Linked DNA regions of Mytilus edulis. The protein of the gene in region 1 interacts with the protein of each later gene in a pairwise test. Links are inferred from orthologs where the notes say so. Each region holds a gene or a part of one and is shown on either strand. Other genes may lie near its edges. The genes, in order: cyclin-dependent kinase 14-like and cyclin-Y-like protein 1.

Region 1 (15,743 bases):
GTTTATATCATAGAACATAATGCTTTAATCATCAATGCAAGAGTCATACAGTCAATTTCAAGATGATATTTGAACATAGATTAGAGAATTGAAACGTAAGAATGAGTCAAAGAGAGTGACTTGAATCAATATTATAATTTAGCCTATGTATGAAATGTTTAAATTATATCATACAAATTGTCCAGGGGCGGATCCAGCCATTTTAAAAAGGGGGGGTTCCCAACCCAGAGTAAAGGGGGGGTTCCAGCTATATGCTCCCATTCAAATGCATTGATTGGCCAAAAAAGAGGGGGGGTTCCAACCCCCGGAACCCCCCTCTGGATCCGCGCCTGTTGTCAATGTGAGAGTATACATGTACATAGTATACAGTTAAACTCAAGATGAAATCATGGATATAAGAACTTAGAAAAGAGAATGGAAACTAGAATGTGTCAAAGAGAAAACAACCAGATCAAAGAGCATGCAGAAAAGAGGAGCTTCAATGCAGCAAGAAAATCAGTAAACAATATAATTATTCAAATTGTATTAAGATCTCAAACAAGAATTATCCAGGTTGTACCTCTGAGATAAAACACTGACAAATAGTCTGATGCACACGTCATAGGCGGATTCAGGGGGGCCCTGGGGGGCCCGGGCCCCCCCCCCCTTTCGTGGGAAAAATTTGGTTGATTATATAGGGAATCATTGAAGCATGACTGGAGCGGGCCCCCCCTTAGGTCAGTCAGCGGGCCCCCCTTAGAAAAAGTTCTGGATCCGCCACTGCACGTTTGTGATTGTGTTTTCACCTGTATATATATGTACTCAAAACTCCTGTACTGCCTTTTCAAATTTAATCTTGGCACCCTAAAAATCAAATGGTAGCTCCCTAATCAAAGCCCAGGATTTTGTAATAATGAATGTTAATTAAGCAGGTGCTCATATACCAACAGCTTAAAAGCATTAAAATCAAAACTCAAATCTAAAAGTTAACTTTTCTTAATTTCTAAATATATATCCATTTAGCTTCAAAATTCCAAGCTTGAAACGGAGAGAAAAACACAAAAGCCATCAATCTGTTTTAATAGGCCATTTAATAAATATTTCTGATTTACTGTTTCAGATAAGTGAAGCATCTTTTATCTAATCCTGTGAAGTTGAACTGACAAGTTCTCCTTAAAAAAACACTTATTACAATCAACACAGCAAAGATTATAGAAGCCAATGCAATCATTTAGTTATGAGTCTGTTTTCATTTCAAAATGATTTGTTGTTTGTTTGTGAATCGTAAATTTCTTCATTTCATTCAATAATTGGTGGCAAAGTAATTTGTTGTGTTTTTCACTTTGTTTTCAATTCAAACTTTTAGATTACTAAATTGTAATGTACCAATAATTGCTCATTTTGTTCGACTTGGCTATCTAATTATGATTTTATTCAAATTAGATGTAATTTGGTGATATTAAAGAATTAAATTACTAAATATGCAGTGTTCCTGTCTGCCAACAATAGAAGGACCCACTCTAGGTGCCCTAATGCCCCTTACCCTTCTGCCCTTAAAAGCAAACCAGCACCCTTCTGCATGCCCTCAAAAGCAAACCAGCACCCTTCTACCCTCAAAAGCAAACCAGCACCCTTCTTCCCTCAAAAGCAAACCAGCACACTTCTGCCCTCAAAAGCAAACCAGCACCCTTCTGCCCTCAAAAGCAAACCAGCACCCTTCTGCCCTCAAAAGCAAACCAGCACCCTTCTGCCCTCAAAAGCAAACCAGCACCCTTCTGCATGCCCTCAAAAGCAAACCAGCACCCTTCTGTCCTCAAAATCAAACCAGCACCCTTCTGCCCTCAAAAGCAAACCAGCACCCTTCTGCATGCCCTCAAAAGCAAACCAGCACCCTTCTGTCCTCAAAATCAAACCAGCACCCTTCTGCCCTCAAAAGCAAACCAGCACCCTTCTGCCCTCAAAAGCAAACCAGCACCCTTCTGCCCTAAAAAGCAAACCAGCACCCTTCCCTCAAAAGCAAACCAGCACCCTTCTGCCCTCAAAAGCAAACCAGCACCCTTCTGCCCTCAAAAGCAAACCAGCACCCTTCTGCCCTCAAAAGCAAACCAGCACCCTTCCCTCAAAAGCAAACCAGCACCCTTCTGCCCTCAAAAGCAAACCAGCACCCTTCTGCCCTCAAAAGCAAACCAGCACCCTTCTGCTCTCAAAAACAAACCAGCACCCTTCTGCCCTGAAATTCAAGCTGGAACTATTGTGGTGATGTGTTTTCACCTGATTTAAACTGTCACCACCAATAAGTGGAGTACAATACATTTACTGCACAACATGTGCTCCTTCTAGAGCATTGGAATTTATTATACTCCTTGTTTTTGGTCTGCTCAATTGTTTAATGGATGGTTGTCTCTTGTCTTTTTTCTCTTCTTCCATGAGAAGTCCTTTTTTTATTTGCGTAATGGATTTTTACTCATGTTAATATTGCCCTCTTCAGCTACATGTACGTGGCTTCACATTCATGGTATATGAATGTATAAATGTGAAAGAAAGATCCTGGTTTATGAGACAATCAGAACTTTTTTTAACCGTCCCAGCTGTTTGAGGATGGAACTTGGTTTTATTGTTTTCTTGTATATTATTTTTTGAGGGGGTGGGGATTTGGATATTGAAAATAAATATACTGGACTGGTAAGATCTAAATAAATAACTGTACAAAAGACACAATGAAAATGAGTATTCTGCAACTCAATATGCAGGAAACAAAATTAAACATGCATAGGAAAAGACAAAAATGAATTGTCAATCAACAATAAATTTTTCTTCCCACACTCAAATATGTAAACAATCATCCCTGTTTCATCATTACCCAATTCTGTTTCATTTCCAAATCTTTGATCTGCGATGTTTACAATATATACCCATCAAGTTTTATACTAATTAAAACATATATATATATATAATGTACTAGAATCAGTGTAATAAATCATCTTTGAAACATTTTTATTGATTTAAGGAAGCAATATAGAAGATGATCTGAGATACAGACCAGAATTAAATCATTCATATAACCATGATAACTCACTGAATTAAAACATCAAATATCCTCTAATTGATCCTAGCTTGCTTTAACTATTGTAAAGTATGGTCTTAAACTTTCAAACTGAGTTTTACTGTGCATATTGTTGCGCATTTGTTTTTTTCTACATTGGCTAGAGGTATAGGGGGAGGGTTGAGATCTCAAAAAACTTGTTTAACCTGCCGCCTTTGATAGTCTTGTACAAATTTTTAATTTTAGTTTCTTTTATATATATTTTGGAGTTTAGTATGACATCCATCATCACTGAACTATAGTAATAGTACACATTTTTATTTAGGGGCCAGCTGAAGGACATCTGGGTGCAGAATTTTCTTGCTGCATTGAAGACTCATTGGTGGCCTTCTGCTGTTGTCTGCTCTTTGGTCGGGTTGATGTCTTTTTGACATATTCCCCATTTCCATTCTCAATTTTATCTCACTTAAAATTACCGACTGTAATCTTCTGGTAAAGTCATCTTAATAAGGGAAAAACTCAAAAAAAAACCTACTTGTCTAGTTAGATCCATTTAATTTGATGCGACTGTCACACATTAGTGAGATGTTTAGCTAGCTATAAAACCAGGTTTCATTCTCATTTTCTACATAATAAAATCCCAGTACAAAGTCTGTAATACAAAATGTAATATGACAGTTGTTATCCATTGGTTTGATGTGTTTGAGCTTTTAATTTTGCCATTTGATAATTAGGGACTTTTCAATTTGAATTTTCCTTAGAGTTCGGTATTTTTGTGATTTTACTTTTTATGTCTCGTCTAAAGTCCAATTTTGGCCAAGAAAAAAATCCCTCTCTATATACTAAACTGTACGAGGCATCATGGTAGGAAACATCTAAGAAATATTTTTTAATGTGTGGCCTTATTTATTTTAATTTTTCATGCCTTAGACCCTACTACAAAAATAAGTATAAAATTGAGAATGGAAATGGGGAATGTGTGAAAGAGACAACAACCTGACCAAAGAGAAGAGAACAGCCAAAGTATCTACAATGCAGCGAGAAAATCATGTTTGTTCTCTTTTATCAGCAACTTTTCAAAAGCAAAGAACAAATTTACCTGACCAGGTTCAAAAACTGGACAGAGAGATGAACTCTTGCATGTTTATGATTAAAAATATTTCAAATTCCCTCTTTATATATATATATATTTAAACATGTTAAATGTAATACCTTTTCAAATTTTGGAATTAAGTTGACTTCAAGCATTTAACATGCACCTGTTTTCTCTTCACATGTACACAGTATTATTACCACATCTTAAGTATTTACAAACCCTCTCTTATGTAAATAAATACTACAAGATCAATATCTTTTCAAAGGAAATAAACATAATAAGTTGGTTTATTTTATATGTAAACACAACAGTGAGGATGATTATATTGGCTTAGGTGCTTGTAAAATCAATCTTATAATATATACATTGTATATTAAATAATTAAAAGTAATTAGCTGATATGTATCCCATCAGATATACAAATTTAATTATATATTGGGGCTGTCCAAAGGAGAATCATAATAAAATTGAGAATGAACCCTCCCTTTTTTTGGCCGATCAATGCATTTTAAAGGGGACATATAGCTGGACCCCCACCCCCCCTTTATCCTGGGTTGGGAACCCCCCATTTTTAAAATGGCTGGATCCGCCCCTGATGGTTCTCAAAGTTATTACTGTAATAACTAATATTGTTAAAAATTACAATTTATTTACTTGTACAATTTATATACATGTATCTACACGTACCTGTAACCATAAACATGTAGGATAGATTGAGTTCAAAGAAAAGATATTGATATTTTGCAATTCATTAAGTGATTATCTCCCCTCACATTGAATAATGTAAATGGAAATGAAAGATATTTTACTAAATTGTGAGCCTTTTTAGTTGAAAATTTCACAATGATAAAAAATATCAAATCATGTTCATGTATTGTATCAAAGGGCAGATATTGTATGACACTATAATAGACCATTTAACATTCTTTTTCTGTGACATGATGTAGTAATTGGTTCAATTCAATTGGTGGCAAATAACATTAAAGCCTCATTTTAAAGGGGGGCAGAACCTTTTTCGGGACGCCAGGATCAGGTGTTTTTAAACTTGGGATTTAGGGATTAATCCTTTCAGGATCTAGAAATTCTTTTTTCAATTTCTGGAATGTCGGAATTTAAATTTCTTTAAAGTTGGAACCTCAGGATCTCATGTTTTGAAGCCCTAGATTTCAGGATCAGACCCCCTCCGACCCTATCCCCCCCCTCACTTCTCATTTTATATTAGTATTGAAAATTGGTTGCCAACCTACATGTACAATGTATGATTTAATGGCACTATTTTTTTACATTTTTAAATTTAAGATATTAATATAATATTATGTTACAGCACAAGAAAGCAGGGGTTTTTTTTCAAATAATTTGACCAAGCAGTGTAGAAAAAGTCTGAGGTGGTCCCCAAATATGGAAAATAGTCCCCCAGAAACAATTAAATTTAGGCCAATTTACCAATGCTGATAAAGTGAGTCTCATTGGGGTCTAAGCGTGACGCAGGATTGCCGATTTCTTGTAAGTGTGACACGTGAAAGTCAAATTATTGTGTCTTGAAAACGGGAAATGAGGTCTAAGCGTGACGCAGGATTGCCGATTTCTTTTAAGTGTGACACGTGAAAGTCAAATTATTATGTCTTGAAATTGGGAAATGAGGTCTAACGGGACCCGGGAAATGACAAAAAAATGAGAATTGCTTACGTACATAGTGTAAGCGGGAAACGGGAATCTGACAAAACAGTAAGCGGGATCCGGGATCAGAACCCCCCCCAAATGAGAGCCCCAATAAATAATGCAACTCTGTGGTCCTTTGAAACACATGATGACTTGATCTTTGAGAGTGACTGCTAGGAAATGTTCAAAAAAACATGTACAAATGTACTTTTATTAAATTACTTGAGAGGTTGGGAAAGGGACCATCTTCTAACATAAATAGAGCCTAAAGGGCAAACACACCAAATTAACAAAAGCCAAAAACACAAGAATATATTTGACAGCAGTAAAAATTTTGGAATTAGGATCTTTTAGTTTCAGGCCAGGATAGTCTAAACTTAAGGTTGTCATATGAATGATGATGACACTACATGTGCACTTGTCTGAAAGGTTGGACAACCTACAGCATACCTGCCAAGTGTCACTATTTGCGGGGGATTTCCCCCATGGAGGCTCCTAAATGGAAATTTTGAAAGAGCAATTTTGTCCACAAATTTAAACAAAACAATTAGTTTTATAGTGGCTAAAGGTTTGTAACAGTATGAAGAAGCCTAAAAACAACATTAAAATATACATAAAGGTCCCCTTGAAGGTTTTGTAGGACTACATTAGCCATCTTGCACGCAAAACCCCCATGAGCATTTTGAAAAGTTGGCAGGTATGCTACAGGCCTGCACTGTTCAGCTGTTCGGCTGAACTGAAACTGAAACATATATATGAAATTTCTTCGCTAATAAACAAATAAAATATTACAGGCGTCTATTACAAAATGCAAAATGTTATTATTATATGAACATTCATTTTACAAGATGTCAATAAGTGTGTCAAGAACAGTCATTCTTTTGTCAACGAAGAACCCCTTTTTTATGCGACATGAGTCATCCGGTTACACAAAAACATCTTGAAAAAAACCTTACCGTCTCTTGATTTCGGTTTTTCACCATTACAGCGGACTTCGGTCGCCATATTCTCCGTGTGAATTCACTTTTGAATGATTAAATTTCATTATAATTCATTTCATTGTAAGAAAATGTTCCATTGTTGTTTGGCGACCTTTTTCTGATTTTCGATTTTCTGTCAATACATTTCATTCGGAACTCTTCTAGTCTAGTTAAAACCGCGGGAAATTTAACTACAATTATAGTTATGAAATATTGCTTGCAATCAATCAGACCACTCGCTTACGATCACTTAACATACCGTTATATTCCGATGAAATAGACAGAATAAGAATTGTACAGTGTTTCGAGAAATTATTGCTATGTATCTACTGACGTATTTTTGCCCCCCTAATTTTTTGTAAATAAACTAGTGAGTTCAGCACTTTGGAGTTCAGTTTGCTGTGTGTCACTGAATAATCATAGTTAACTGACTTTTTAAGCCCAACATACTGTTAAATACGGTAATGAGAGAGAAACTAGAGGCTCTAAAGAGCCTGTGACGCTCACCTTGGTCTTGTGCATATTAAACAATGGACACGGATAAATTCATGACATAATTGTGTTTTGGTGATAGTGATGTGTTTGTAGATCTTACTTTATTGAACATTCTTGTTGCTACAATTATCTCTATCTCTAATGAACTTGGCCCAGTAATTACAGTGGAAAATATTTTCTAAAAATTTACAAAAATTTATCAAAAATGTTAAAAATTAACTATAAAGGGCAATAACTCCTTAAGGGGTCAATTGACTATTTTGGTCATGAAACTTATTTGTAGATCTTATTTTGCTGAACGTTTATATTGCTGTATACAGTTTATCTCTATCTATAATAATATTCAAGATAATAACAAAAAACGGCAAAATTTCCTTAAAATTACCAATTCAGGACAGTAACCTAACAATGGGTTGTCCAATCCATGTGAAAACATCAGGGCAGATAGATCTTGACCTTATAAACAATTAAACCCTGTCAGATTTTCTCTTAATGCTTTGGTTTTTGAGTTATAAGCCAAAAACTGCATTTTACCCCTATGTTCTATTTTTAGCCATGGCGGCCATCTTGGTTGGTTGGCCGGGTCACGCCACACATTTTTTAAACTAGATACCCCAATGATGATTGTGGCCAAGTTTGGTTTAATTTGGCACAGTAGTTTCAGAGGAAAAGATTTTTGCAAAAGTTAACGACGACGGACGACGACGGACGACGGACGACGACGATGACGACGGCGGACGACGGACGCCAAGTGATGGGAAAAGCTCACTTGGCCCTTTGGGCCAGGTGAGCTAAAAAGATGCAAATATATAAAATGAACACGTATAAGGCAGCTACAAATTGTTTAATTTAGGGGGGCCGGGGTAGAATGAAATATTTGATGAAAGATAGGACTGGACAGTTTTGAGTATAACAATAGGGCAGGCATGATGAGCAACTTGGCAAAACATGAAGGATGACAATCAATGTAAAAAAAAAAGTAAGGATAAATTAATAAAAAAAAAAAAAAAGACAGGCCGTGACCATTCGCAGCAAATGGTTGCTCCCTAAAGGTAATTGTAAGTATATTGTGATTTTTTAAATGAATCTTCCGACCTTGACTGGTAAGAGTTGCAAATACATGATTTTTCCCACATTAGACAGAATGAAAATGAATAGTCTGCCGATATAAAACGCAGGAATTTATTGTGAACAATTTTTTAGAGAAAAATAATTAAAATAATAAATGTAGTGGGAAAAGTTTGTTTTGTGTGTGTGTGTGTGTGGTTTTTTTATTTAGCTTTTTGTCTTGAATTTATACATGCAAGCTGAGACTACTATAACACTGTGTTATAGTAGTCTCAGATGCAAGGTGAATTAAATATAGAGTAACACCACAGGCACTCGTCTCATGCAGCCCCTATACACCTTTATTTTTTTTTTCTGAGACGAGTGCCTGTGAGTAACACCGGCAACAACGTTACTGGTATTAAAAAAAATCAACAGAAGTTAAGCAAGATGTTTTTTGTTTTTTTCCATTTCAACTGACATTCAAATTGTAAAATCCGCAGCTGAGCCAAAACGTAGAACTTAAGAATGGTCTTTCATAACTTAATGTAAATTCAATTCATTTCCCTTTATAAATTATAGATTTTAATTGGAATGGACGAGAGAGTGACATTCTACTTAAAATTGTCACCCGCTCAGCCAGGTGACAGAGTAAATTAACACCAGCGTATTAGACAATCAAAATACGGCATTTTTATGTGAAGTATGATAATAAATATTGCTTACAGTGTCATCTTTTTCTCAAGGTAAGTGTTCATTTTCCACATTATTTAAATCGCATTTCAGGGGCGGATGCAGCCATTTCAAAAGGGGGGGGGGGGTCCAATCATATGTCAAATTCAAATGCATTGGTCGTCAAAAAAGAGGGTTCATCCCTCGGAACTCCCTGGATCCGCCATTGCATTTAGTACAAATTATCGCCACTGAATTAAAAGAGCGAAATTTACAGAAATTATACTAAATTAAATCATCGTGTTTGTGCTTGCATGAGCAAAACCGCAGGTGAAACGATTGGGGCTGGATTTTCTTACTCCTCCGGATCATCTGATATTTTTGATTAGTTTTTTTAAAGGGATTTCGGAGGGGGTCCTCATCTGCTAAGTCTTATTTTTCTATATTATGTTTTGTATACTACTATTTGTTTTGTGGTCGTTTTTTTCGTTTCTTGCTATGAGGGGGAGGACAGGGAGAAACGGGGTAGGAGAAAGGAGAAAGGGGGTGGGAGAAAGGAGAAAGGGGGTAGGAGAAAGGAGAGGAAGGCTGGGAGAAAGGAGAAAAAGTTGGAGAAAGGAGAAAAATAAAATATCTCTCCTTTTAAAAAATTTTCTAATATTTCAAGAAAAAATATCTCAAAAGGAGACGTTTTATTCTAATGGGAGAAAGGAGAACGGGGGTAGGAGAAAGGAGAAAAGGGGTGGGAGAAGGGAGAAGGGTACCCCCCTGTCCTCCCCCTTGCTATGGCATATTTAGTTCATATTCGACTAATGAGTTTGTGTATCCCTTTGATATTTTTGGTCTCTCTTTCGTGACAGAGTACACACCATTGAAGTACAATACTGACAGAGTTGCTCTCAAAATTAAGATTTCATTGCATGGTTTTAAATATGCGACATGGTGGTTGTAGCAATTCAGCTGAATTCTAATAGATTTTCCTGAAATCGCAACAATCAATCTCGCATTGCTGTCTATTCTTAAAAAATCACAAAAATAAATGCATGCAAAAATTTTTGTATTTACACTATCAACGACAGAGTTTACTTTTGGTCATAGAAGTATACCTTATGGCATGGTTGCTCAATATTTACAGGGGGCACACCATGAGAGTATGTATGACAGAATACTAATTACGGAAGGACAATCAGAGTACGCACCATACACTGGAAAACAATATTGCACAACATGGAATAAAATTGAGAATGGAAATGGGGAATGTGTCAAAGAGACAACAACCCGACCATAGAAAAAACAACAGCAGAAGATCATCAACAGGTCTTCAATGTAGCGAGACATTCCCGCACCCGGAGGCGTCCTTCAGCTGGCCCCTAAACAAATATATACTAGTTCAGTGATAATGAACGCCATACTAATTTCCGAATTGTACACAAGAAACTAAAATTAAAAAAATACAAGACTAACAAAGGCCAGAGGCTCCTGACTTGGGACAGGCGCAAAAATGCGGCGGGGTTAAACATGTTTATGAACTCTCAACCCTCCCCCTATACCTCTAGCCAATGTAGAAAAGTAAATGCATAACAATACGCACATTTAAAATTCAATTCAAGAGAAGTCCGAGTCTGATGTCAGAAGATGTAACCAAAGAAAATAAACAAAATGACAACAATACATAAATAACAACAGACTACTAGCAGTTAACTGACATGCCAGCTCCAGACTTCAATTAAACTGATTGAAAGATTATGATTTCATCATATGAATATCAGGCACAATCCTTCCCGTTAGGGGTTTAGTATCATACCATCATAACATATATGAGAAGAACATAACCCGTGTCATGCCAACAACTGTTTTTTTAATAAATGTGTTTAGTTCCGATGCAAAGACCCAATAAGTGAATCAATATTAACGCCAAAATAAGCAATCTTTATTGACCTGACAAGCATGATAGTGACATAGAGTGCATCCTAAGTAAGTCCGATAGCGATATAGAGTGCATATCATGGAAGCATGATAGTGACATAGAGTGCATCCTAAGTAAGTCCGATAGCGATATAGAGTGCATATCATGGAAGCATGATAGTGACATAGAGTGCATCCTAAGTAAGTCCGATAGCGATATAGAGTGCATATCATGGAAGCATGATAGTGACATAGAGTGCATCCTAAGTAAGTCCGATAGCGATATAGAGTGCATATCATGGAAGCATGATAGTGACATAGAGTGCATCCTAAGTAAGTCCGATAGCGATATAGAGTGCATATCATGGAAGCATGATAGTGACATAGAGTGCATCATAAGTAAGTCCGATAGCGATATAGAGTGCATATCATGGAAGCATGATAGTGACATAGAGTGCATGCTAAGTAAGTCCGATAGCGATATAGAGTGCATATCATGGAAGTACTATATAGTGACATAGCTGACTGTAAGTCAATATAATCAGTTTTCTATCATTTTTTTCCTGTACGGTACATGATTGCTTTATCCCGTACATCGTACATTTCTGTAATTGGTATTATATTACCTAGTTATTTTATTTTTCAAGTTATTCTTAATGCTATTACACATAATTAATTATTTTTTATTAATGTTTTTTTGTTAATTTTCTATTCATTTCGGGGACATGTTTGTTAATTTTATAAACCCCATCCAGACTCTCATATATATATGAGCTTTTATGTGCTGTGCTTAAAAATAACTGTGATAATGCTTTATGTTATTGGTCACATGCTAGTTATTTTTTAGTAAGTCCTCCAAGCCAAAACGCCAAACAAATACGATCTATAGCCATTATGCCTACATGTTTTTGTTGTAAGTAACTTAGTAATACTTAGATGTTATGATGACAAAGACGTTTGAGTTATTTCCCTTTGGTCACAATGCGTTGAATGCAATGTTAAAGTACATTTAGGTCTTAGTGTAAACGATCTCGAGGCAACGACTACATGACACAAATAACCACTTTACAACTCTCACATTTTTTTACTGTTAATGATTCCAAGGTCCGTAGTGCTTGCAGCAGATTGTATTCTTTATTTGCATGGCGATGACGAATACCAGGTTTGCATTTTATATCTTTGAGGGTAAAGGTTTTTGAAATTCACTCTAACTTGTGGTTGAAAACATTGAGTGCAATGTGATGCAGGTGCATTGCACAAGAAATTGGAAAGTCAGTTTCATCTATGAAGTAGTCAAGTACGTACCTTGTTTTCTGTACTAACTTTATGTTAGAAGAGGACGATAAATGGATGACCCGGGTAAAGATTAGTCCAAATAATTATGACGTCTTGAAAGGCTATTATAATTTTTTTCTTTGACGCCTTACATCGACGTAAGGCGTCAAAGAAAAAAATTATAATAGCCTTTCAAGACGTCATAATTATTTGGACTAGGTAAAGATAGTCCTATAACATATGACTTCGCATTCTTATTCAATGTTTAACGTTTTTATACTGATATTTTCATTTTTTTATTTTTTTGGCACATTGATAGTAAAAAAAATTATCAGAACAGTAAATAGAAATAGTAAATAATGCCCCCGAGGTCATATGTTATAGGACTACAAGGGAGGTGCTTAAAGGACACTCAAGCCGCTTCACAGAAATCTGAAAAATTTAAACATTTTACAACACAAGCATAAACTAATACTTAAAAAGAATTACTATATTATAGTCCTCCTTTTTGCTGAACCACATTATAAATATTTTTTTAAGATTAACATGTAGTTATCCATATGCAGGAGCCACCAAGGGCAGGTGCTTAAAGGACATAGTAATATAATTCTGTAAAATTTCTGTGTGAAATATTTGGATTTGGTTGCAGCCTCTAGTACAACCTGTCCCAATGCTCTAAGAGAAAAAAGAGAATACACAAAATATACAAACAATGGTATGAATCATGAGTATTTTTTTGTTTGTTTTATAAAATCACACATTTCATACAAGATATCCTTGTTCTCATTACTCATTAACCAAATAAACTGTCAATTGTCAAACTTTAATTGTCAACATATCAAAATTAGCACAACATTTCCTAGCACAAACTATTTATTTATTTCTCTCATTATTTAATGAGGTACAATTAAGGGGAAAATGTAACTCATCTTCAATTTCAGAACTTGAGCATCTGGGACAAGTTCTATCGTGTCGAGAAATACCCTGATACCTTCCCTTTTCAATCTTTAGGGAGTGTGCTGAAGCATGTAGCCTTGTCAGATTTTTTCTAATATTAACATTGCGGATTACAGATAAATATTTTTCACAGACAAAATTATTTTTATAAAGTACATAAGAGCATAGTTTACTACCAGCATGTATTTGTAATGTCTGCTCCCATTCTTGTAAAAAAAACAATTCTTTATAAACTTACTATTTACATTTAGTATGTTTTGGTTGTTCATTGGGTCAGCAGACTTAATAATTTTTAATATCACATTGAAACTACCATACCATGAAGGTTTTTTTTGCATCAGATAAAATATTGATTCATGAAAAGCACTATCTAGTAGTGGAGATATAAACTGAGTTATTAACCTGTTATAGTATTTAACCATAGCTTTTACAATATTGAAATATAAAGGAAGTCTGCCCAATTCAGATAAAGCAGCTATATTTTTTGCCTTTGAGTGGACACCAAGAATATATTTACAGAATTTTAAATGCAATCTTTCTGCTTGACATTTATCATAAATTTGGTGAAAGGTTAACAAGCCATTCCTAAATTTAGATGTGAATGGATTAAACATTCCCCACACCTCACAACCATATAATAGAATTGGTTTAATTGTATGATCAAAAACATGCATACTAGTTTTAGCAGAAGGATTCAGTGACAATAAATCTTTTGATAATTTGAAGTATGCTTCTGTAATAATTTTGTCTATAGGATATGATTTAAACAAGGGTAGGAATTTATTATCATCATGCATGATATATATCAGGGCTTGTTCCTGTTCTTGCATTAAAATCTCCACAAGGAAGAAAATTGACATCTCCAAATGTATCTGTAATATCTTTTTGTATGCAATCCAAAATATTTACATCAAGACCCTTAGTATAAGAGGATAAACTAGGTGGAAAATATACCACACATATAAACAGGTCTTTTTGAAGACCCAAAAAGTTTTTATCTAATTTCACCAACTGATAATCAGCATTAGTGATTTTCAATATTTTAAAATGATCTTTAACATGTGGTTTTCTTAATATTGCAATGACACCAAAAAATCTATTATTATACTTAGTCACTTGTCTACAGATAGGATGATAGTGGAATGACCCAATTATTTTTAATGTGGAATTATATCCTAAATGGGTCTCAGCCAAAAAAAAAACCAATTTCATATTTGTTTATTGACTTAATGAACAAGGGGTCACAAGTTTTGTCATAGCCCTTTGCAATGAGTCCCCCAACATTCCAAAAACAAATTTGAAAATGACATATAGCTTATTATATTTTAACCTTTGATAAAAAAAAAATAAGTATATTAACAAAAGAAAATTATATAATTAAACTTGTCTATCGTTTAAGAATAGACAAAATTGAAATTGAAAAAAAATGATAAGGTTCTATATCTATGTATATATCTATGAACTTTAAATATAATGTTACATATACCAAAATAAAAAATACATTATTGAGGCCCCTCATGGGGGGTCCTAGTAATCACATAATCACCATTTTTTTGCCAATATAATCACATAATCATTAAATATTTGCTTATCTTTAGTAATCAAATAATCATAAACTAAAAATACAGTCCTAGGTAATCAAATAATCATGAAATATTTGGCTTAATAATCAAATAATCATTAAAAAAACGGCCAAGTAATCACATAATCAAAAACCCCATGAGGGCCCTCATTATTGCTTTGATTGACAAAATCAATATTGAAATTCTATTGTATGAATAAATAATAAATGTTAGGATGGAGATGATTGTCTTTGTTGCTATGTCACATGATTAAACATTTTGGTAACCAGTGACAATTTCATTACTCCCGTTGACAGTTCTTAATTGATTGATTTGAATTACTGACTTACATAGGTAAGTGATGTGCTATAAAATATAACATTTATATACAATAATAAAAAATAATCTTCATTTTGATTTTGGAGCACAATTTTTTTGTCAGGAAACGTTTAAAATTCCTCATATAAATTGTCGTCCTCTTCGCATGATTTTATTTTTTATTCCATGTTCTTTTTGTGCTAGAAAACGCTACAAGATGCATCCAGACATATATTAAGCTTAATTTTGCCCTTTTCCAGACATGTGCATCTATATTTATATATCTTTGTCATATATGAGGGGGAGGACAGGGGGGTACCCTTCTCCCTTCTCCCACCCCTCTTCTCCTTTCTCCTACCCCCTTTCTCCTTTCTCCCATTAGAATAAAACATCTCCTTTTGAGATATTTTTTCTTGAAATATTAGAAATTTTTTTAAAAGGAGAGATATTTTATTTTTTCTCCTTTCTCCAACTTTTTCTCCTTTCTCCCAGCCTTCCTCTCCTTTCTCCTACCCCCTTTCTCCTTTCTCCCACCCCCTTTCTCCTTTCTCCTACCCCCTTTCTCCCTGTCTCCCTTACCCCTGTCCTCCCCCTCATATATTATGTGTTTAACTATCCGTAAGGACGATCGAGGTTGTATTTCTATAGTTGAGGTCAAACAATCGAATATTAATTAACTAATTGTACTTCATTCATAAAAAATTGAAAACTCACACTATTATAACATGTGTGTGAAGTTAGCAGCCGGTATTCAA
Region 2 (16,654 bases), about 1.9 Mb from region 1:
ATTTCATATGAAACCCTTTTGTGACGAGTTATTTATATATGCAAGTGTAATGATAAGCTTATATCATGTATACTCAAGTATGAGGAATCTTACATAATTTTTCAAATCCATAAATAAATTATACTATCTAATTGTGGCTTTAAAAACTAAACAACGAAAATGTGTGAGAAATGCTCTCTTCAGTTGGACTACCTTCACAAAATGTATTTGGGTTTCTAAACGATGGTTTGTATTCCATTAAAATGAAGCAAATGCAATGGTATGCAATACATTTATTATCTATTATGAGTACATAATAAAATGAAAACTCGAATAGTGTTGAAATAATAGGGTTGGTACTTATGCAAGCTAAAATTATAATTATCATGTAAAACATGAACTTAATAAAAAAAAAAGTATTGTTTAATGACTCTTTTGTGTGTATTCAGACATTTGCTGTTTGTCAACATAAAAATAAAATGCGTATGTTTGTCGACTTTTTAAATTCAAAATACGGTCATAAATCTAACAAGTTCGTGCTTGTGTTTCAATATCTTTAATCCAGTCATGTTTTCTGTATCAATGGTTTCCACGATTCTTGTGCTTTGGGTATCATTCACAGTTTAAATTTCCTGACACAAAGCCATTGCATAAATAAAAAAATCCACAGTTTTCTATTAAATCACAGAAATTTGTGACATACCCCGATTTGCGGTCTTGGAAACAGAGTGTTTCTCGTAACACGAATATTTTTACGTCATTCTCGTAATCAATATTTACTTTCAGAAGATGATGTTGTCATCATGAGAGCAGCAGAATATGTCGACTTAATCATTTTGGTTAGATTTACTCGAGGTACAAAACCGAAATTTGAAACAGGAAGCTTCGAATGAAACGAAATTTAAACAGTTACCAGTGACGGAAATGAACAAAATCCGGAAATTGTAAATTTTATAAAATAAAAAAATTAGGGGCGGGCCAATTTCATAGGGGCGGGCGGGGATGAAAATCTATCAATTATTTCTAATTGGCCTTACTCTGTGTTTGTGTTTTTTGTTAGAATTAGAGGGTTTTCAATTTCAAAATATTGGACATGGAATAGTGGAATAGACATCATGACTTACTTGACTGACATCTAGCTTATTTGGAGTGGAATTTTAAAGTATTATTCATAAGTGGAGCCTAATGGCTAATAACATCAACTTATATTTTAATAAAAAGTCTTCTTTTGTGTTTTAATCATAACTTTAAAGCAGATTTTTATTGGGAAAGGCTAAAAAAGGCAATTTAATAATATTATTGCGAACGTCACGTCTTTTCCATCCATTGTGGTATGTCACGATCGCAATTATTTTGTTGGTTCTCAGACAGCCCATTGTAGTTGTTTTTATCCCGGGTTTTATTATAGTTGAAAATAGCAATCATATTAAATTTGGATGACGTTAGGGGGTCAAAGGACTTAAGGAATCAATATCATTGGCTGTTTTATTTTTTTGCAAACGTTACTGCTCGACGTTTCCATCCAAATCAGTGTCACGTGAGCAATATATATTTAGATCTGTAACTCTCCTGTATAGTAGTTACAATATCGCTTTTTGCAGATTTTGATTCGGAGTCAGTTCCTTCACATGATGGGGAAGCAAAGAACATAAAGAAGGTAAGTTGTATGTAATATCGTTACAAGAGGACCTTAAATGTATTCTGTCCATCAAAAAGACGTTCGCAATTAAACGTTGAATCAAGTAATGTCATGATAGTAGATGTTGCTAATGTTACTAATATTACGAATTGGTTTCTTGTGTATTCATTTGATATAAAGTACACCTGCAAATGACATTCTGTATATTTAGGAATTTTAAACCAGATTGTACAACTTTATTACTCGAGGCATATATTAAACATCACTGTGTGCATACATTTTAACTTTTAAAGATGTTGTTGCTAATGTGACATGTCCAAATGTCGCTAACGTTACTCATTTTTGTTTTCTTGTGTATTCATTTGATATAAAGTACACCTTCATTTTTGTATCCATCACGTTAGCAACATGAAAGTAGGAGACAGAACACAATGCTGTAAAATCTGCCTTAAATGTTACATGTATGCAAAATTCATATGAAAATTAATGTTGAAAAAAACCTTTAACCCTCTTGATGCCAGATGGACACATGTGTGTACAAACTCCACACTGACTCACACAGTGCGGGAGGGACATATGTCAGTTTTAATTTATAAGCTTTTTTGCTGTATCTTTTTCAAATAAAAAATCAATAACAATGTTATGTTTTTATTCAATGTGTCCAGAATGTTACAGTCATCATACATCGAATGAGGGCTATTCCAGTAAAAATTATCCAGGGGGGGTGGAACGCCACTTATTTTTTTACCCCCCACCTATGGAAAAGATTAAAAAAATACACCCCCACCTAGAACATGTATTTTCTTCCAAGACCCCCTACCTAGAGAAAAAAAATAAAAGTTAGCTAGTTTTTTAAAGTATACAAAAATGTTGCATCCTGTCAAATAAATGTAAAATTTGTTGGTTTATCTATTTCAGTGCATCCAAAAAGGGGGGGGCCCCTGGCCCCCCCTAAATCCGCCTCTGGTCTCAATGGCAATCATATCACATCTTCTTTTTTATACTAGCTATGTTGCTATTAAAATATAAAATGAAACATGTAACAATGTTATGGAGCAGCAGACGACAGATGCAACATGACGGCAATAGCTCACAGTGACCGAAAAAGGGGGTGCGATTTTAATTATGGCCCATTTTATTTTTAAAACTGTCAATAACATTTTCAGGTACGACATATTCATCAGGTGGGGAAACTGGTTGGCACCAACCATTTGATGTTTCAGAGTTTAGTTTGAGCCATAAAATATTTTTGGTAGGCACAATGTAATTCTTTTTTTATTTTTTGTATTTCTTATATACATTTTTTTTTTCAATAGGCAAATGTTGAGGAAGATGATATACTCTCCTGTGTAACAAGGCCATATTTTTCCGCAAAAATTAGGCCATTTTTTTCCTTCAATACCACCCACGCAACATGCGCAATAAAAATCTAATTGTCTGTGCCAAATATAAATATTTTTTTATGGACCGCATAGTTTGGATGTCACCCACACATAATTTTTTGTGGGGAGACGGTATACAAGGGAGAGGGTACTTGAAGTTGTTATAAACTGTATGCAATAAAATATTATTTGGGCCAAAAATTGCAAAGAATTGGCCAGTCCACCTTATTAAGGACATATTCTTTGCAAGGAAAGAGATTTAAGTACAGCAAATTCTGCCATTTCAATTTCAATGAATATACAATAACTTCTTCCAACCGCAACAATATTTAAGTTAACCTTTATTTACAATGTTTAAACTGGTACTGTTGCCTTGTTCATGTTCATGTTGGTTTTTTTTTACATTAAATTTGGGTCTTCGTCGATACCATACTTATTCCAGACGTTCCGTATCAGAGGACATTTCAGGCAATTCCTCTGCACTTCTTGTATCATTATATCTTCATCACGGTGACAAGAATAACAGTATAGAGTACCATTAATTCATAGAACAAAACAACAAATCGCTGAAGAAGTCATGTTTACAAAATGTCAAAATGAGCCAAAGACCAAACTAGAGGCTCTAAAGAGCCTGTGTCGCTCACCTTGGTCTACAATGGTCTATGTGAATATTAAACAAAGGAAGCAGATTGAAAATTGACTACAAAGTTCAATAACTCCTACAGGGGTCAATTGACCATTTCGTTCATGTTGACTTATTTGTAGATCTTACTTTGCTGAAAATTATTGCTGTTTATAGTTTACCTATATCTATAATAATATTCAATATAATAACCAAAAACAGCAAAATTTCCTTAAAATTAACAATTCAGGGGCCGCAACCCAAAAACAGGTTGTCCAATTCATCTGAAAATTTCAGGGCAGATAGATCTTCGCCTGATTAACAATTTTATCCAATGTCAGATTAGCTCTAAATGCTTTGGTTTTTGAGTTATAAGCCAAAAACTGCATTTTACCCCTATGTTCTATTTATAGCCATGGCGGTCATCTTGGTTAGTTGGCGGGGTCACCGGACACAATTTTTAAACTAGATACCCCAATGATGATTGTGGCCAAGTTTCAAATAATTTGGTCCAGCAGTTTCAGAGGAGAAGATTTTTCTAAAAGATTACTAAGATTTACGAAAAATGGTTAAAAATTGACTATAAAGGGCAATAACTCCTAAAGTGGTCAACTGATCATTTTGGTCATGTTGACTTATTTGTAGATCTTTCTTTGCTGAACATTATTGCTTTTTACAGTTTATCTCTATCTAAAATAATATTCAAGATAATAACCAAAAACAACAAAATTTCCTTAAAATTACCAATTCAGGGGCAGCAACCTAACAACGGAATGTCAGATTCATCTGAAAATTTCAGAGCAGATAGATCTTAACCTGATTAACAATATTACCCTTTGTCAGATTTGCCCTAAATGCTTTGGTTTTTGAGTTATAAGCCAAAAACTGCATTTTACCCCTATGTTCTATTTATAGCCATGGCGGCCATCTTGGTTAGTTGGCGGGGTCACCGGACACAATTTTTAAACTAGATACCCCAATGATGATTGTGGCCAAGTTTGGTTAAATTTGGCCTAGTAGTTTCAGAGGAGAAGATTTTTGTAAAAGTTAACGCAGGACGACGACGGACGACGCCGGACGCCGGACGCCAAGTGATGAGAAAAGCTCACTTGGCCCTTCGGGCCAGGTGAGCTAAAAATGACAAGGACAGTTAAGCGTCTTTTATGGAGACAAAAACTATATTCCTAAAAAGTCTTTGGGGTTCTTCAATCGAAATAATAGCAAGCTAAACTAAATGAGATTATTATAAGGGCTAAATCTCGTCTGTACTAGCCAAATTTAACAAATTTAAAGTTGTTTATAAAAAAAATATATATCATGAATGATGGTTAATTACGTTTTTCGGGTTATCAGTTAGACCGCATGGTTTTATTATTACAATAGGAAAACACCCGAGACGTGAAGTCGCATGGTTCTATTATCATAGGTAAACATCCGAGACTTCCCAAAAATATATAGGTGCTCCTATTATTGGAGGAACATTACACAGTTGTGTACACACACATGGCGGCATGGAACACGATCGGAAATTCATTTGACGATATCTAAACGTTTCGAAACGAAGTGAAAAGTATCGTGCGCCACGTGGGCGCTTACATTTGTCACTGTATGCGCCATTTCTTGTCAATATGCGCTATAGGCGCAGGAGGCACGTCCTTCCCGATCACTGGTTTGACAAGAACACAAACGGACGCTTAAAATTAGTGGTCTGCCAACTTTATTTGCAGTCGGATGACCTTTTCAGGAGAATCTTCCTTCATAACAGGGGGAACAATATGTTTAACCTATCATTCAGAAACCCCCCACCAACAGAAATGAATTTAAATCGGGACCACCACCCTCCAGAATACAATTATGTTGATAACCCCCCACCTATGGAAAAAAATATCGTCGGCGTTCCGCCCCTCCTAGGTAAATTTTACTGGAATAGCCCTGATGACATTGTTGGACATCTAACGTTAACTTTCAGACATAGAGTTGTCACATTTTCTGGCACATAAAATGCAACCTTGAAAAACAACTGGCAGCAATAGGGTTAAAATCCCCTTTTGGTTGTAGCCTCAGTGATGAAAAACTCATTCTGCATTAATACTGGTTTCTTATCTTTTGCAGGGATCTCCATGGCCTGTTTAACGATGGAGCCCGGCCATCGTTCAAATGTCTTGCGCCATCGTCAAATGACTCGCGCCATCGTTAAATTGTCTTGCGCCATCGTTAAATTGTCTTCCGCCATCGTTCAAAACTTCATCGTTTTTTGTAGCCCGACGCCATTTTTTTATCAATTATAATCAAATGCATGTAATTGCATAACCCTTAGGCTTTTTATGTTATAATCCAATACAGTTCTAACGCCTGAGGGATATCCGGATTAAGATCGCTAATTACTTGTACCTGAGCTTGTACAGGTAGATCAACAAACCAGACAGGAGAATACTATCTGAGGATAGACGATCCATTTGTCGAAGTAATCAACTAAGTTTCAGCAAATGATTATGATCATTTAGATTAAATAAATAAATTAATAAATTAATCCAGTTACAAAGAAAACAGTTTAACAAGTCGAACACGTGCTTTATTTTGAATTACGCAATCAGCATCCCCCTTTTTTAAGAAGTACAAAATAAGACGCAAAACAGTAAATATTATTTCATCGCAAATAACTCGAGTACTGCTGTAACGATAATTTAGAATTACTTTAAAAGTTTAAAAGTGAAAACTTAAATATTTCCTGTAAAGAAATATCGTATCTAAATTCCGAATTCATTTCGTATATTACAATCAAATTGATACATCCGCGTTTCCGGTTTCTATTCAGACTCGAAAGATGCATGTTGCACAGCATCAATTTTTCCAGATAAAGTCATTAAAAACCTTTTCATTTGTCAACGTTTGCTTTACAAATCTCTTTAACCTTTTACATAACCCGTACGAATTGATTTGTTGTTGCTGCAAATCAGCCATACCGGTAATGGGCTCTGAATTTGACAGTGTCCACGAAAAATAAGCTCCACATCAGATGATTTTTAACCCCCATAACAATTACCAAAAATAAAAGAAATCTGCATGGGGACCTTCATGACAGCTTTTGGTCATTCTCGACTAAGGGGGGACCATGAAGACTTGGCATTTGAATGGTTAAAAACGGCAATAAATGAAAATATTGATACTTCTAATTCTATAATGAAAATTCAAATAAATATAATTTAAATAAGCAATGAATTAGCATGTTCACCATTCCTTGTATGGAGGGATAAAATACTTCCGATCGCGCTACACTGTACAGCGTAGACAAGGTTTGTAATGGTGAAAGTTCCTCCATGGTTCAATTTTCATCCATGGAGATCCCTGCTTTTGATTGATTTCCTTTATATCATTGTATTTGTTTACATGTATGATTTGTCTGTTTAATTAACATTCAACATTTTCCTTTTTTATGATAGCAGGTACACGAGTAGTAAGATTTAAAAAATGGTGCACTAAGGGAGTGAATATTGTTTTGGACGAACAGAGCTGGATATTTTCAAGTAAAGGTGTCAGGTTTTAAAAACTAATTATAGGGTGTGACATATGTTCAATACCTTCAGGTAAGATTTCCCTGTCACTAATGTGTGGTACCGCTGACAAAGAAGGTGTACTCAGGTTATTGTGTGTTAACGTCACACGTACATCATCTTGTCTGTGATTAGCAGACTGAGGTGTGGTTGAAGTCCTGTATGCATCCTCAGGTCGTCTAGGCTTGGACCCTCCAAATGAACAGCACGATTGCTTATTCCCCATCTATACTGTTATTTACTATACTTTAAAAGTTACTTCATGGCGACCATGTATCATGGTTAACAATATATTGTCAGTTCTTTGGTATCAGCTGATTTTTCTAAACCAGCGCACCCAAAAAGATGCTCGTGCCGGGTTGGTATTCTGTGTGAATCATCAATATGAATTAAAAAGCAGTTTACTTTTTGGGAAAATAATGTTGACCTATTGAATTTGTGTGGTTATAGGTACAGTGTTTATGCTATTTGAACCCAATTTAGCTCAGATAAATTATTAGTATCCTTCATTTGTTCAACATCACAACGACGGAAATGTCGGAAGTGGTCCAGACAACTGTAATGCAGTTAATTTATAATGCGTTTTGATTGGACAAAATTAACGAAAGTATTTTAGCTGGAAAATTCGAATGAGTTTTAGTTTAAACAAAATTCTTTCGCTTTTCAGTAATTTTCCTTATTGCTTCATACTATTTATAAAATTTTCCATCAAAAAGAATTTGAACTAATTTCTTCATCCAAATATTCATGAAACAAATTTTTTCAACGACTTCAGTTTTAATAATCTAGCAATTTTGTTTACTGATACTGAACTACCAGATAAAATTGTGCATGCAGGTTCTGTAGGCTCTGTAGAGGCATTTAAGACCGACCTTCAACTAACAAGAACACCGCCCATAACAACGGCTCACTTCCCCACCGTGTATAAAAGCCTTAACATGATTATACATGTACCAATCAAAGTACAAATACATATATATATATACAGATACGGCATTATAATAATGTAGACAGATTTGCTCTTTTTTTAAACCTTTTACCCACATTTTCTCTATTCTTAAATCTTTTGGACAAATTTTCTCTATTCTTAAAATCTTTAAGACAGATTTTTTTCTATTCGTAAATATTTTAGACAGATTTTCTCTATTCTTTTAAAAAAAAGAAGATGTGGTATGACTGCCAATGAGACAACTATCCACAAAAGATTTTCTCTACTCTAAAACCTTTTAGGCAGATTTTCTCTATTCTTTAATCTTTTGGACAGATTTTCTCTATTCTTAATTTATTTGAGACAGATTTTTTCTATTCTGAAATATTTTAGAAAGATTTTCTCTATTCTTATACCTTTTAGACTGATTTTCTATATTCTTAAATATTGTAGACAGATTTTCTATATTCTTATACCTTTTACACAGATTTTCTCTATTCTTAAATAATTTAATTTTGGATGTAACACGTTTTTTGATTGGCTGAAGTTATTTTGTTATCAGCCCATAGACATAATATCATGTAACCGTGACGTCATCAACGTTTTTTTCATGGTTTTCTACGGTTTAAAATGGAATTTAGAATTAAATTATAAGAAATGACTGTAATATTTTTTCTGTCTATTCGAAATAACATAAAAAATGTGGTGCACACTGTTAAATAACTCGCTACGCGCGTTATTCAGTGTGCACCAAATTTTTTATGTTATTTCTTCATAGACAGAAAAAAAACTTTTATCCAAATTTTATTTATTCATAAATCTTTTAGACAGATTTTCTCTACTCTTAAATCTTTTAGACAGATTTTCTCTATTCTTAAAATCTTTTAGATCATTGTTTTGTGTTATTATAAAATGTGCTGTTACAAAATGATAGAAATTATTATAAATTAAGGAATGTATCTCCCTCAAGCAAAGCACTGATTCCTTTCACGGATTTGGCTATATTTTGTGGACCTTTTGGATTATAGCTCTTCATCTTTTATATAAGCTTTATATTTCAAATATTTTGGCCACGAGCATCACTGAAGAGACATGTATTGTCGAAATGCGCATCTGGTGCAGGAAAATTGGTACCGTTATGTTATTTTTATGTAATAGATTTTCTCTATTCTGAAATCTTTAAGACAGATTTTCTTTATTTTTAAATCTTTCCGGAGACAGATTTTCTCTATTCTTATTTTTTAAAATTCAATTCTTATAATTGAGCACTCCATTATGCTCTATTCTATATTTTGGGACTAATTTTCTCTCTATTCTTTACAGTGTTTGCCCTTTGTACAGCACTTTTACTCATGTAAACCCAATTCAGACCCTCATATTCGACCCACTATATAGATATGTTAACTTTAGTCAGCTTGGTTGCGTACAATATCGTAGCGGCTACATAGGGCTACGCAGATTTTTGACTATTGAACGTGTAGTTTGCCTAGCTGCTACATAAATTTTGATAGCAGCTAGGCTAGCTACTAGTTCAATAGTCATAAATCTACGGAGCACTACGTAGAATTATTTAGCTGCTAGGATGTTAAATGCAACCCTGGATTTGGCATACCTACGGGACTTTCGGTCCTCGATGCTTTGTACAACTTCGTCCTTAATTTGGCATTTTAATCTGTTTTATTTGAACACCACTGATGAATCTTATGTAAACGCAACTCGCGTCATAAATACAAAATTACAAGCCTATTTGGCATTTTGATTTATTTAAAAAAAAAAATTATAAAAATTTCTCACAATCTTAAATTACGTGTACCTGCGTGTGTAACTGTATGGGTTACGTTCAATATCGTAGCAGCTACATATATAGGACACCTCGATTTTTTTTCTACTGAACGTGATCACTATTCTAGGCTAGCTACACGTTCAGTAGTCAAATATTTATGTAGCTCCAGGCATATTTAGATCTATGTAGCTTCTATATTGAACGTAACCTCATATAGACATTCGATTTCCATTACATAATTTATTAACAACAGGGTTGAGTTCAATATCTTTGTAACAACTAGTCTATAGCTACACGTTCAATAATCAAAATCTACGTAGCACTGCGTAGCTGCTACGATATTGAACGGAGCCATGTTTATAAATTAGTAGATTGCTATCAAGATGACAACGTTTTTCAATATAGAATCATATTCAAAACAGTGTAGCTGTGGCCATTGATTGGCAACCTTAAATTATCCCATTGACTGGGGCAGATTATGTGAACGTTTGTCTGTAACAACCGCTGCTCACTATGTACTTGTTAAAGGTACTTAAACTGTGGGGTCACAAAAGGTTCTCAACACCTAAATAAAGAAATTAGAAAAACTAATCAGGAATAACTCGATGTTTTGATTTATATCAATAATATAAATCAAAACATAAAGTTATTCCTGATTAATTTTTCGAACTATTTTAATATTAAAGGCGTTAAGAACCTTTGGTGACCCCACAGTTTAAATTCTATAATAAGCAAGTAGTGAGCAGTTGTCGTTACAGACACACGTTCACCTAATCTGCCCCAGTCAATGGGATAATTTAAGGTTGTCAATCAATGGCCACAGCTACACTGTTTTGAATATGATTCTAATGGGAATATATGCCTCAAGGTGGATTTTTTTCTGGAAAGCGACCGGTGATTTCATCAGACACTGTAATCAGCAAAATCAATTAATAATTATACAAATGTATATAATTCTCAAACTGATCAATATAAAACCCAAGGGAATTTTTAACTTAATCTAATTAATCAGGCTTCCTCTCTGTATTCTGGAACCATTTCTCTATTCTTTATACATGTACCTGACTAAAAAAAGCACATAACAATGGGCAAAGGTTCCAGACTTGAGATAGGCGCAAAAAATACGGGTAAGATATCTTAGAAAATATATGAGACATCTTATAAGAGATATGAGACATCTTATAAGATATATGAGACATCTTATAAAATATATGAGACATCTTATAAAATACATAAGATATCTTGATATATAAAAAAAATATTTATCAGCTGACATTTACCCGAAGGAACTTAGTCACATAATACTTTTAATTAAACAATTTTTAATATCAACAACAATTATAACTGTCCTTTCCTAGACAGGGACGGATCCAGCCATTTTAAAAAGGGGGGTTCCCAACCCAGGACAAAAAAGGGGGGGTTCCAACTATATGTCCCCATTCAAATTCATTGATTGGACAAGAAAAAGAGGGTTTCCCCTGGGTCCGCCAATGGTAGATTTAGATATTTCATTATTACAATAGAAGCTCTTCACCCAAAATTTCGACTAAAGGGATGAGTCTTATGTAGACGAAACGCGCCACTGGCGTACTAAATTATAATCCTGGTATTTTGATAATTATTTACACCACTGGGTCGATGCTACTGCTGGTGGACGTTTCGTCCCCGAGGGTATCACCAGCCCAGTAGTCAACACTTCGGTGTTGACATGAATATTAATAATGTGGTCATTTTTATAAATTTCCTGTTTACAAAACTTTGAATTATTCGTAAAACTAAGGATTTTCTTATCCCAGGCATAGATTGCCTTAGCGGTATTTGGCACAACTTTTTGGAATTTTGGATCCTCAATGCTCTTCAACTTTGTACTTGTTTGGCTTTATAAATATTTTACTGATGAGTCTTATGTAGACGAAACGCGCGTCTGGCGTACTAAATTATAATCCTGGTACTTTTGATAACTATTTGCTTTCCCTATTATTTATTTTCCCTTTTTAGACGTTGGTGGTCCTTTGGTACCGTACAAAGGTATTTATTTACTCCTTCGCTTGGTCGCATCTGAAGTGACGTTTTAGATGTTAGTGAGTAATCTATGTATAAATTTTATTATAGTTAATGTATAATAATTAACTATGTATTAAAGGGAAACTTCGCAAAAAAATCAAAAATTGATATTATGTCCATTCTGTATAAAAATGCTCAAATTTATAGATATTAAAGTTTTATTCCGCTAAATAAGAGATCACCATCGATTTTAAATTTTGAGTATCAGTTCTCTGCTCTCCGCCATCTTGTCACCTTCTCCGATGAAAAATCCCGATATGTCTATAAACCACAAAGGAACAAAACTACAGTAAACGATGTAGTCGTAATTGCGTGTCGATATCTTGTCAATCGTACGGTTGTTTTATCTGACTGACTAACTTGATACGGAAAATGGTCTTATTTTTAAATAACCATATAGTCTGTTAATTTTAAACTGATAATATTGTAATTAGTTAAAAAGTCAAAGTTCAAATCATAAATAAGTGTTCCGTGGAAATTGTTTTCGAAAATCTAATTCGATCATAATTCTTTCAAGTAATAAACTTTATTTAAATAAATTCGGATCTTCCCTCATCTGATCACCAGCATGGCTAAAGGTATTACTCCCAAAGGTATTGGAAGGGGTGTAAGGTGACACGTCCAGGTATTCAATCGATTTCCTGTCCGGCGGGCTTGCAAGTTCATGCATCGTTTCACTTCTGTAGGTATTGATCAGTGTACACGACCGTTACTTATAACTTTCCATTTTGAACTATCAGGTGCATGTATAATATACATTTTTGTCTTGCGTGTCCGAAAGTGATATAATATACTAGTCATTACTGAACTCATACGCTTGTTTATAAATAACATTTCTGGTGTAAAGAATATTATTTACAAAAAAAAAATAATACAAAAAAAAAATTGAAGAAATACAAATCTATTTACATATTTTTCCAAGGGTTAATTTGGGAAAATGTAATATATACTCGTTGTCAATAGTTTAGGACAGATTGGAACATACCAGAATTATTGATTTAAAAAAATGTGCGCACTTGTCGACGATTCGTGTATACATACGCCTGGGTAGAAAGTTACGGAACTATAGTCAGTAGCGCAATTTAAAATATGTATACATGTATACATTGAACATAAGAAAGAAACATACATTTTGTGTAAATTGTGGTAAAAGTTTTGTAAATAGACTAGTCCACGTATGACAACAGTATGTAATCAACGAATTCGATAGACTATTGTATACCAAAAGAAGAAGAAGAAAAAAAAAGAAACAATTTGATTTAAATACAGGTCAATTTATAACTTGCTTTGGTTCATCGAAGTTAAGAACATAGTAAACTCACAGATTTATATATCAATCAGATTGTTCTCGAATAAGAACGAAATTCGTCATCATCACAATTGTTCCAACATTCATGTAAAATATATGCAACTGGACGTACACTAATAATCCCCAAGGGATGTGAATATTTTCTAGGAAAACTATTGAGTATCAATTTCGGGATTTATTTTCTTTCTTGGTATTCAATGACAGCAATTTAAAGAATAAACTGCTTGTCGGATATTTGTTCGCTTTAGGGGTATTCTTGCAAGTTGAACAGACTTATAAAAACATTCAAAAATAGGGAAAGATAACATTAAATTCGTTGTCTTTTAATTTTAAACATCGTTGGTCAAATAGTTATTTAAGTATATATATACGTTGGGAGACGACGATTATTATAGTAGTCTCAGATTTTAATAAGGACGTTCCCGATTATGAATAAATTTGGTTGACGTTTTTCACACTTGAAAAGAATATCTATTCGTAATTTTTCGATTCCATTCCAATACAAAAGTATTTTTTCTTTATTCGTACATATTATATATTCCGCTTCGGTAGAGTTATCTTCAGATAGTTTCATATATTAATTAATACATGGCTTTCAAAAGTCTAAATGTAAGTGTTGTCGTACATTTTTTCGCCTAATAAAGACAAATAAAAATGATTTAGTGAAGCTATTTCTAATTTCTAAGTCCCCCTTTTTTATGAGACATAAATCAAGGACAAGACTTGTATATCATTTCATTCTGACATATGAATTAAGTTTCCCGTCTTTAACCGAAAATTGTGTATTTCTTAGTAAATTAACTTATTTGAATTCAAATAAATAATAGCACCAAATATAATTAAATAACGGTCTCTAAAAACACCGCAAAGGACTTCCTTTGTGCACAAAGGAGCACAAAGGAGCACTAAGGACCTCAAAGAAGTTTAATAAGAGCACAAAGGACCTTAATTTCCCTTTAAAGCATTAAAATATTATAATTCCTGAAGAAAAATGTAAAAAAATTAAAATAGTTTCAATAAAAATTGCGATTTTTATGCAATCTCCCATGCAGAGAGAGCAAGGACCGACAACTCTGCATGGGAGATTGATTTTTATGATGTACGATTTGGTATAATCACCGGTATCGGTTTGGAACCGACTTTATATCCGGGCTATATGATAGCTCATGTATGTGAATTTTTAAATAGTTTTAATATGATATTAATGATAAAAACGTCATTTATTATTTTTAATATTTTGTTGTAATATTTTTTAAGAAAAAAAATATGTATTAAGTTGAATTGGCATTAAAGTTGAAGATATACGAACTGCACAGTCATGTGTTCTGTAATGGGTACGGATATGCATAATATTACGACCCTTTTCTATAAGATTTTACTTAGTAATACATTCATGAATTAGAAAATATTGAGAAAACACAAACATATGATATAAATACAGACTGGGTAATAAACCGAACAAAAATAAAGCAAACATTGAGATCTCATAAACATGTTTAACCCCGCCGCAATTTTGCGCCTGTCCCAAGTCAGGAGCCTCTGGCCTTTGTTAGTCTTGTATGATTTTAAATTTTAGTTTCTTGTGTATAATTCGGAGTTTAGTATGACGTCCATTATCACTGCACTATTATGCATATTTTAGGGGCCAGCTGAAGGACACCTACGGGTGCGGGAATTCTCGCTACATTGAAGACCCATTGGTTACCTTCGGCTGTTGTTTGCTCTATGGTCGGGTGGTTGTCGCTTTGACATATTCACCATTTCCTTTCTCAATTTTATTGTTGGTCAAGATTTCGACTCGAGCATTAATCAGTTAATAAGGATTGTTTCATAAAGACTTGATAGCACTTGGGATGAAAAAACGTTATAAATTCTTTACAGTTAATTATTAGCGTTAAAAGACTGTCTTTAAAAACAATTACATTCAGAAAATAATCAAATATGTATTTTTAAATTTTAAATTATAAATATATTTAAAAAAACAAAAGAAAACTATAGACATATGCACAATAATAATATACCTACGGGTCTGGAGGCCAATACAGCAAACCTTGAATCTATACCAGTGCCAATACATAAACAGCCAGTTAAAAACACTATAAAAACATAGTGTATTTTGAAGTTTATGAAATACGGATTGACAAATTTAAACTAATTACCTACCTTTATAATTATTGCCATAGTATTCCCTTTGTGCCTTTAGAAACGTTTTCGTCATAGCAATACTGACATATTACCATACATAAGAAAGCTAGCTGATGATGAAATATGAAAGCAAAACATCGGTATCCTTACATTAGACATTAGACATTAGACATTATTTTATTTTCCAATCATGGGCCCTTGTCAGGCAAGATACAAAAACATCATAATACAATGATTATATAAACATTAGTGAAATACACAATAAGTAATACACAAATAATAAATTGATAATATGAGCAATGTAGGATATAATTATAGTAAGAGACATTGAGTGCAATGAGGCCGATTTAATATTAAAAGGATATGATATTAAGTTTATTTTAAAATACGGAAACTAAAAAATAGTAAAAATAGAACCGGGAATATAGTATCTCAATCTGCAGTAGTTCTCCTCATGACCAGTGCACAGTAGTGAGGGACTTCATCACAACAATGCAAAGGTCATCAAGGGGGGATCCTTCAGAACTAGCTACAGATACATGAGATTACTCCAATAGTGATTCTCCTCATGACTAATGCACAATAGCAAGGGTTAACATTGCTACTGGACAATATTCATCAAGGGACGGTGCTCTAGAACTCACTATGGAGAAAATATAAAGTTCAAATTACAAGTAGTAGAGGGAAATAAATCCCATTAAAACTTTTCATATTTCTTAATGAACATGCATAATTCTGATAATAAATTCTCATCTTCATTATTCATTAACCATATCAGTTTTTGTTTAGGGTCAAGATATTGAAAATTCTTGCAGCAATTATTTATCATTGTTATCATATCTTTCCTTTGATCTGATAAACTATCACAGTTAAAAAGACCTCATTACTACAACATCTCTTACATATTCTATTGTGTCGGGGAGTATTACTATATCTACCTCTCTCTATAAGTAAATGGTGAGCAGATATGCGAAATCTTGTTAGACTCCGTCTATCTTCAAATTTTTTAACAATATCAAGATATTTTTCACAACCAAAATTTGCTTTAAACGTAACATATGTGCAAAGTTTTCCTTCTGAGTGAGTTTTGAGATTCTTTTCCCAATCTTTTAACATGGCAATTCTTAGTTTTCTGTTGTCAATTGGTTTAGCCATGTCTGAGGATATTTGATAATTATTAATCAGTGAAAGAAGTTTTTCAGATGACATATACCATGATGGTTTCTTTGACTCATACAATTTCTTTGATTCT

Evidence for each region.
Region 2: the proteins of cyclin-dependent kinase 14-like (region 1) and cyclin-Y-like protein 1 interact in a two-hybrid assay, tested with the Drosophila melanogaster proteins (2 studies listed by BioGRID). The link is inferred for Mytilus edulis from reciprocal best matches to the Drosophila melanogaster genes Eip63E and CycY.

What each region holds. Positions count from the first base shown.
Region 1 is NC_092357.1:68,243,011-68,258,753, forward strand, and holds the start of cyclin-dependent kinase 14-like, read right to left. Parts: upstream 6,895-15,743; 5' UTR 6,783-6,894; coding exon 6,734-6,782; intron 1-6,733.
Region 2 is NC_092357.1:70,153,116-70,169,769, forward strand, and holds the start of cyclin-Y-like protein 1, read right to left. Parts: upstream 7,728-16,654; 5' UTR 7,400-7,727; coding exon 7,201-7,399; intron 1-7,200.